Notamacropus eugenii: one gene and its partner. The protein of the gene in region 2 binds, or shares a complex with, the protein of the main gene of each other region. Links are inferred from orthologs where the notes say so. Each region holds a gene or a part of one and is shown on either strand. Other genes may lie near its edges. The genes, in order: TCAIM and OGDH.

Region 1 (3,904 bases), on a different chromosome or scaffold from region 2:
GCACATTAAATACGTTACCTTCAAGGATTGTGCAAGAGAAGAGACCTAATGTCAGTCATGAGAGAGATGAAAGCCCAGAAGAGGTTGACCTGAGGGGGGGAAATGGACCCATGATGGCCTCTGCTGAGGTCCAGGACAAACATCACCCAGCACGGAGAGTGGCTGTATATTTACAGGGGGAGTCTGGACAAAGGTCACCATAGATGGTTCTGAGCTGCAGCCCTGGAGAGAATATGCAAACTGATGAGATCACAACTCCATCCAAATAATACACTCTTGGAATACAATGATCTTGCAGTCCACTAAGACCCTCCAGATCTTTTTCAGACAGAGTTCTAGACTCAACTCTCCCAACTTAGACCTGTGAAATCAACTTTCAGAACCTCTCCTTATGAACTGCTCCCTTCCCTCCTGACTTCACACGGGCTGGTCTGCTCTGCTCATCCGTAAAACAAACAACCAGAACCTAAAACCCTTCACTTCACCACCCGTATCCTTGAGCTACTTATTCTATGTCCATCCTCCCATTTTTGGCCAAATGCCCTGAGAAGGTGGCCTCCGTTCTTCTCCATTTCCCGGCTCAGCTCTTGCTAATCTGGCTCTTCAGCACCAGATCTCTGGGTCACTTCACGGTCCTGGCCCTCCTGAACCTGTTCATGGATCTGACGTGGTTCACACTCTCCTGGGCACTGCTGACCCCGGCGGGCTCTGTTACTGACCATCACCTCTGCGCAGGCCTGCCTCACTGCCGCCCAGTGGACACTTCAAACCCACCGTCGGGGGACCTTCAGGGCGCCCCGCCCCCCTCGTCTTCCTGCCTCTCCATCCTCCTGACACCGGCGGACTCTGACCTCTGGATGCCACTCGCTGGCCGTGCCCTGCCCTGCCCTCCCCCTCCCCCGCCCCGGCTCAGGCCCTCGCACGGACCCCCCTTCACTTGGCGGTGCCTAGTCCAGGGTGGGCTTAGTGTCGCCCTCAGACAAACGCTGTGTGACCACAGAGGCGGGGCTGGCCTTTCATTCTGGTGAGCGCTGGGCGGACGAGAGGCTCGGAGCCACCCCACGCGCGTGGAAGTTCGCGGGGAGTGCAGGGAGCTTCTCGTTAGTTTCGGGACTGGCGCACCGAGATGTAAAGGGAGGACGACCCCGCCCCCCCTCGTCTCCACGGCCTCCCTTCCCCACAGGCCAGGGGGATCCCTGAGCTCTCCCGCCGCCCAGGAAACACCCGGGGCCGCCCCGGGGCAGAGGCCGGCCCGCGCGGTCCGCAGGGCCTGCCCGGCGGCGGGGGAGGGGAGGGGCAGGATCAAGGTCAGGGTGATGACCCCTCCTCACTTAGCCCCGGCGGCGGGGGGCTCACCTGGGCGGGACGCCCGGACCCGCGGCCGGAGCGGCTCACACGGCTACACCTTCCCTCCCCCGAGGCGGCCCGGCGGGGGCCCCGATTCGTACGTGGAAGGCCGCCCACGCGAGGGCACCGACCCGGTCGGTCCATTTCACCTTCGCCCCCACCTCAGCTCCCGAGCCCCCGGAGGAGGAGGCGAGGACGTGAGGGAGGAGCCGCCGGGCCACGCGCCCATTGGCTAATCCGCGCCACGCCTCGCTCCCTGGCCCCGCCCTTTTCTGCAGTGTTACACGGAGGATGACAAGGTGGCAAGGCTAGGCAGCCGAGCATAAAGAGAAGGGAACGGTCCCATCGTGCGCGTCTATTAGCTGAGATGTGGCCGACCTCGTCCCGCCCCATCCAGGGTCTAAGAGGACGGTAGGGGGAGGGGTAAGAGACATCCCCTGCACTTCATTGGATGAGCGGCACCAGGCCCCGCCCCGGACCGCTCCCGGGTCCGCGCGCTCATTGGCTGGGCTGCGTCAGGCCCGAGGAGGACGCGATTGAGGGAGCCGTGCGCCCATTGGCTGAGCCGTGCCAGGCCTTGCTCCGCGGCGCGCGCAGCCTGAGACCAGTTAAAGCTGCTCCCAGTGGCCCTTCCTCCTCAGCCAGTCTTTCCCCACCCACTGGTTCTGGCGGATGCTCGGTGTGCTTCTCCTCCAGCCTTCCCCTGCAGGGGACCCTGGTGCTACCCGCAGCCCTCGGCCTGCCCCTGCCCGATCCCCTTACCAGCCTGTCCCGGGAGAGCTTCGCCCACTCCCGTCGTCTGGTTTAAGGGAGAATGAGCCCGCGGGGAGGGAGGGGATACGGTCCCGCGCGCGCGGGGGTGGGGGACTTGTGCGGCAGGTGGCTGCGCGCGGGGGTGGGGAGGGAGGAGCGTAGCGCCCGCGCGTGCGCACTCGAGCCGGCCCGGCTTCGTCTCCCCCCATTGGTTGGCTGGCGCCGCCCCGGGGGCGCTCGGAGCCGGCCGTTCGGCGCCTGCGCAGTGGCGCCCCCTGGCCTAGGAGCACGTGCTGGGCTCCCGACACTACTGAGCACCGCCTCGCGGGCACCAGGCTTCTTCTACTCCCAGACGTTTCCCAGGTCTCTGGTGACTCCAGTCCTTTTCAAGAGGACGCGTAGGGGAAGAAGAGAGAGCTGTGCAGGGTCCCCAGCCTGACTTTCCTCTCCAGAGGCGGGTTTGTCGGGGATGCAGGGGGACACCCTGGCCCTTGTGAGGCTTCACTGAGGCCTCTTTAAGAAGCGCGTCCGGGGCAGACCCTCAAGGCCGCTGGCCAGAAGAGAAGGTTCCTTCTGAAGCAGAGGTCGTCCAGTCTGCGAGCCCCAGGGTGAGATGGGCGATGGGCTTAAACTTTGGTCTTGGAAGAGAGAGAGACAGAGAAAGGAAGACGGAAGGAAGGCAGGAACCCGGCCGGCAAACCCCAAGGTCACCGGACAGCTTCCGGTCATCCACGAGGGAGAGCGCAAGGGTGAGCCGAGTTAGCCAGCCGCCGGGGCATTGGGGCAGCGTGGACCGCTCACAGGTGGCATCTGTCCTGCCTTCTTGAAGAGGACCATGACGTCAGGGAAGTGATGGCTTGGACCTGAGCACCAGAATGGGGACCCAGCCAGTTGGGTAACTGCCCTCCCCGGGCAGTACTGGGCCAAAGGGTCTGTCTTCTTTCTTTCTCTCCTCTCTCTTCTCAGAGACCAAACCTGAAGCCCATTTCACTCTAGAGCTCATCCCTGCCCAGGCTCCCCTTCATGGTTATATTTGGGGCCCCTCCTGGCTTAGGGTGAATGTCAGTAAGAACTTGCTCTTCTGACCAGCAACCCTGAGGGTCTTACCCTCCGAGTCTGATTTTTTTTTTTCAATCCAAGGGACCATCCCTTAATGGACTTCTTAAAGAGGCCTATTCACTGACAGGGTGTTACCTCACTCAAAGTGAAAACTTGAGAAGGCCTAAAAGGGCCAGGGTCTCCCACTGCATCCTGGGCCATCTCCAGTTGTCCTAATGAATGTCTGGCCACTGGACCCAGATGATTCTGGAGGAGAAAGTGAGGCTGGGGACCTTTCACAGCTCTTCCTCTCTCAAATCAGTCAACTGCAAGTCATGTCATCATTTCCCTGATGTTATGGTTCTCTTCAAAAACAAAGGAGGAACACAACAAGATCGAGGACAGCTACTATGAAGCTGTTCTAGCACTTGAAAGTATTAGAAATACTGTTCATAATTTCACAGGAGACAAAAATCCAAGAAAGAAAAACGTTTGGTTTCAAATGTGAATTCAGAGTTTAGACAAGAAACAAGTGAAGTTCGGGGGTCTTAAAAGAAGAGGGCAAGTTTGACCTCATAGTTATTATCCCTGAGACTTTACATAACATCTAAAACTGGAATGTGGTTCTAAAATTGTTTATCTTATTCAGAAGAAAATGGATAGGTCAAAGGGAGTGGAAGGTGAAAGACATTGTATGATAAGATCACATAAAGAAACCCTGGTGATGACATTGAAATGAAGGTCAATGAGAGGGGAAAGAAAAATA
Region 2 (3,904 bases):
CCTACTCAGAGAACTGGAAAAGTGGCCACAATTACTGAAGGTACAGATGAGGCCAGCACCAAGGAAGTTCCTTCCTGAGATAGTACCTCTTGTGGCCTAGTGAAGTAGATGAAGTTTGCCATCTCTCCCTTTCTCAGTTCTAGATAGGAAGCTGGCAAAAGGCAATGAAAAGAAAGTGGGGTCAGAAAAGATGGACTGGAGTAGCAGACAAGGTGAGTTTGGCAAAACTGTTTTCCTTTAAAAGATAAAAAAAAAGTTTCATTAATAAGATTCTGAGGGCTTGGTTAGTCATGTTGCAGACCTTTGATAATTCACTTTATTTCCCTATTACTAATTTAAAAACACTTTACTGAACTTCTGGAAAGTGTGAATAAATGAGACTCCTAAGTGAAGAACAGGGAGTTAAGGGAATTGTCAAAGATCGTGGATTAGAGAAGCTACAAATCCCCTTCTTCCTTTAGGATCAGAGATGGAGGGTTGGAAGGGACCTTAGAGGTGGTCATCTGCTACCTAACCTTTCAAGAAAATGAGGATGGGGAAAAGACATTCAAAAAAAAGGAAAAGGACCTATTTATAGCAGTTCTTTTGGTGATGGCTAAGAACTGGAAATCAAAGGGATGCCCATCAATTGGGGAATGGCTAAACAAACTGTGGTATATGACTCCATTATAGGAGTATTACTGTGCTTTAAGAAATGACAAGCAGGATGATTTCAGAAAAACCTGTAAACTGTGAACTGGATGCATAATGAAGTGAACAGAACCAGGAGAACATTATACACACTAACACTTTCCACAAAGAACTGTGACTTAGCTATTCTCAGCAATACAACCATCCAAGACAATCCCAAAGGACTAATGATGGCACATAATATGCCTCCAGAGAAAGAACTGATATTGACTGAATACATACTAAATGAAGCATGCTATTTTTCACTTTCATGTTTTTCTTTTATTTGAATCTTCTTGTACAAAGTGACTAATATGAAAATGTTTTGCATAATTGCACGTGGATAGCCTATATTTGACTGCTTACTGTCTCAGGAAGGGGGGAGGGGAGGAAGTGAGGGGGAAAGATTTTGGAACTCAAAAATTTAAACAAAAATGTTAAAAAATTGGGGGGAAAGCACGTTATCCTCTACATAAAAAAAAGAAAATGAGAAAAAGTGAAATTATTTTTTCCAAGGTCACACATAGTTAGCATGTGGAAGAGCCTGGATTCAAACCTACATCCTCTTCTTTCAAAATCTTAAGTCTTTCTATTGCCTCACAGCCTTGTCTGAAAGGTCATCAACTGGCCAACCTTCTAACATTTTAAGTGTTACTTTGTCACAAAGATATTCTTGCTAGAACAAGCAGGCTCTATGGAAAGGTGCCACTCAGCTTAGGTCTGTTAAACTTCATACACTAGTTTAAAAGTACTTTGTAACTACTATTTTTCTCATTCCCAGAGGTTTGGAAAGAGAAGCAGATAATATCGTAAGTCTCTTAAGGAAAGATAACTGAGGGGGAATATAGCAAGGTCGGAAATGAGAGGTCAAAAAATAAAGTCCTTGATGAGTCTGCCCCTTCAAGGGCCCTGCTCCTTCCCTAGTTTTTAGAGAAAACTAATAGGCTTTAAAAAAGTAACTGTGTGGTTGTAAAAACGCCTCCAGTCTCCTCCAGGACCTCCCTTAGCCCCGAAATCTAAGGAACCGAGAGTCCGAGCGGAAATGCACATCCAAGACGCAGGTTCCACTAGGGGACTCCGGCTCTGCCAGACCCAGGCACAAACAAGACAAGAAGGCGGCTACAACGTCCCACCCAGGGCTCCGCCGGCCGCTCTCCAGCCGGGCTGGACAGCCAGGTGGGCGGGACTCCCGGGCGGGACGGGGCGGGGCGGGGCGGGTCCCCCGGCAAAAGGGAGGGCGAGTTCTACTCCCAAGGCAGCCACACACTCGAAGGAGCAGTAGGGCGTGCCCAGGATTGGAGGGATGGGGGTGGGAGTGGCTCAGACCCGACTTAGAATAGGAAGGGACAAACGGGACGAGGTGTCCGGACAAGATCACCTCCTTTCCAATGCCCACGTGATGTTCTCCCCTCGACCTTGTGGGTCACGGGAGAGGAGGCAGCAACTGGTTCCCTCACATCCGCCCGCCGAAGTAACCCCTCCCCCTCATCCCAGGCCACCAATAAGAATCCTCGCCGCGCCCGCGCGGCACCCGCAGCGCGCGCCGGCAGCCGCCAATCTTCGCCCGCAAACCGCTCCAGCCTTGCCCATTGGCTCCAGAGAAAGTCTTTCAGAATTCTCTCATCCCCACCCGTCTCCCCTCAGCCTCATCCTGGTTCTGACTCTCCTCCCTACCCCGTTCTCTCTCCCCCCCACCCCCTAGTCCCAAACCCCCTCCCCCTCCAGAGGGCCGGCCAAGTCACCCGGGCGGCGGCTGCAAGGACACGATGTCCGTGCTTCTTGTTCGTAGCTATCCCGCCCCTATAGCCCACGGAGCAAAAGCCCCAGTCCTGGACCTAGCCCCGGTCCCAGACAAACAAACAGAAGGAGCAAAGGAGTTACCTGTTTCCGACTCCGGCTCCACCCGGGAATGAGGTACCGACTCCCCCACACTCGGCAACACCAGTGCCTTCGCCCCGCCCCCTCCCGCCCGGCGTGTTACGTCACCACGCAGCCTGTCCCGCCCCCTCTGAGCCTGGAGAAGGTGAAACACCGCCCTTGGGCTCTCAGTTTCCTAACTCGTCTAGTTTATGCATTTGTGCCACCCCCGAGTTCTGGACTCCCGGCGCGTGAAACCGGACAGCTGCCTCTCGGGAGGACCTTCCTCCCTTGGGCCCGCTGTCGCTTGTGAGGCCTAACCCGGGACGCCCCCTCTAGAGATAGGGACCACTGTGCCCGAGTTGTGACGTCACAGTGTTCCGCGTCTCTGCGGCGTCCAGGGCCAATGGAATGTTGTGACAGTGGAAGGGCGCGCGTGCTGGACTCGCGCGCAGACCCTGGAGCGCAGCGCGGAGAAGGCGGTAGAAAAGATGGGGCCAAGCAGGGAGGCACCTGGGGCCCCCGCCCGCACGTGGGTTCTCGACTCTTTCCGCACGGGTCACACAGCGCTTAGTCATCGTTTCTAGGGCCCTGCCTTTCCTTAGATGTTGACAGCTGGGGCTGGAACCTCATCTGAGATGGAATAATTACTTAGTTAAATTCAGTTCAGCAAGCATTTATCCACCAGTCGCTTGATTGGATTAGTGAAATATTAATGTTTTCATGAGATAATAGGAATAAGTACGTGTAGGTTAGAGAGCAGCAGCCTCTTTCACATGGGGATTCTGAAGTTTATTTTTTTAATATGGAATATGCTGTTTCAATGTGACTTTTTTCCTTTGTAATTCTTTGTAATTTATTTTATACATTTACAAACATTATTCTGAGAAGGGGTCCATAGGCTTTGCCATTATGCCAAAAAGGGATCCATGACAGATGAACAGTTAAGAACAGCTGTTGTAGAGGTGTTCTGGTATGACTTTACCTCAGGAAGTCCTGGCTTCAAATTATTCTTGGTGTACTCACTAGTTTTGTGAAACCTAGATCATTTAACTTGTTTGTGCTAGGCTAAACAATAACAACAAAAACTTTTTGTTGTTTAGTCGTATCTAACTCTTCCTGACCCCAAATGGAATTTTCTTGGCAAAGTTACTGAAGTGGTTTGCTATTCCTTCCCTACCTCGTTTTACAGATGAGGAAACTGAGGCAAACAGAGTTAAGTGACTTGATGAAGTTAGTAAGTATCTGAGGCCAGATTTGAACTCAGGTCTTCCTGACTCTGGACCCTGCACTTTAGCCCTGGGGGAAAAAATAGCCAAGGAAGAATATTGTCTGACAGGTGATAATGTTTAATATAAAATTTTGGAATAATCTCTTT

Evidence for each region.
Region 1: the proteins of OGDH (region 2) and TCAIM are in contact, whole or in part, in a cryo-EM structure (PDB 8I0K), measured with the Homo sapiens proteins. The link is inferred for Notamacropus eugenii from reciprocal best matches to the Homo sapiens genes OGDH and TCAIM. Residues at the interface, in NP_001425937.1 of Homo sapiens: Gly301, Tyr304, Arg323, Tyr354, Arg356, Ile358, Arg364, Asn365, Lys387, Glu391, Tyr394, Cys395, Gly396, Thr398, Glu399, Lys401, Lys402, Lys561, Met602, Pro605, Glu667, Gly668, Ile669, Asn709, Met734, Ala735, Ser736, Pro737, Asn738, Gln772; in NP_001269842.1 of Homo sapiens: Glu214, Gln234, Arg235, Ser236, Trp237, Gly238, His241, Ser244, His247, Ser248, Arg251, Gln255, Asp272, Arg273, Thr286, Met287, Asp288, Val289, His290, His291, Glu331, Leu332, Gln333, Pro334, Val335, Arg375, Tyr376, Glu441, Ser443, His473.

Annotation. Positions count from the first base shown.
Region 1 is NC_092874.1:22,531,274-22,535,177, reverse strand, and holds the start of TCAIM (T-cell activation inhibitor, mitochondrial), read right to left. Parts: upstream 2,255-3,904; 5' UTR 2,110-2,254; intron 1,751-2,109; exon of another isoform or gene 1,357-1,750; intron 86-1,356; exon of another isoform or gene 19-85; intron 1-18. UniProt on the Homo sapiens protein: May regulate T-cell apoptosis.
Region 2 is NC_092872.1:522,892,489-522,896,392, reverse strand, and holds the start of OGDH (2-oxoglutarate dehydrogenase complex component E1), read right to left. Parts: upstream 2,709-3,904; 5' UTR 2,551-2,708; intron 152-2,550; exon of another isoform or gene 1-151. UniProt on the Homo sapiens protein: 2-oxoglutarate dehydrogenase (E1o) component of the 2-oxoglutarate dehydrogenase complex (OGDHC). Participates in the first step, rate limiting for the overall conversion of 2-oxoglutarate to succinyl-CoA and CO(2) catalyzed by the whole OGDHC.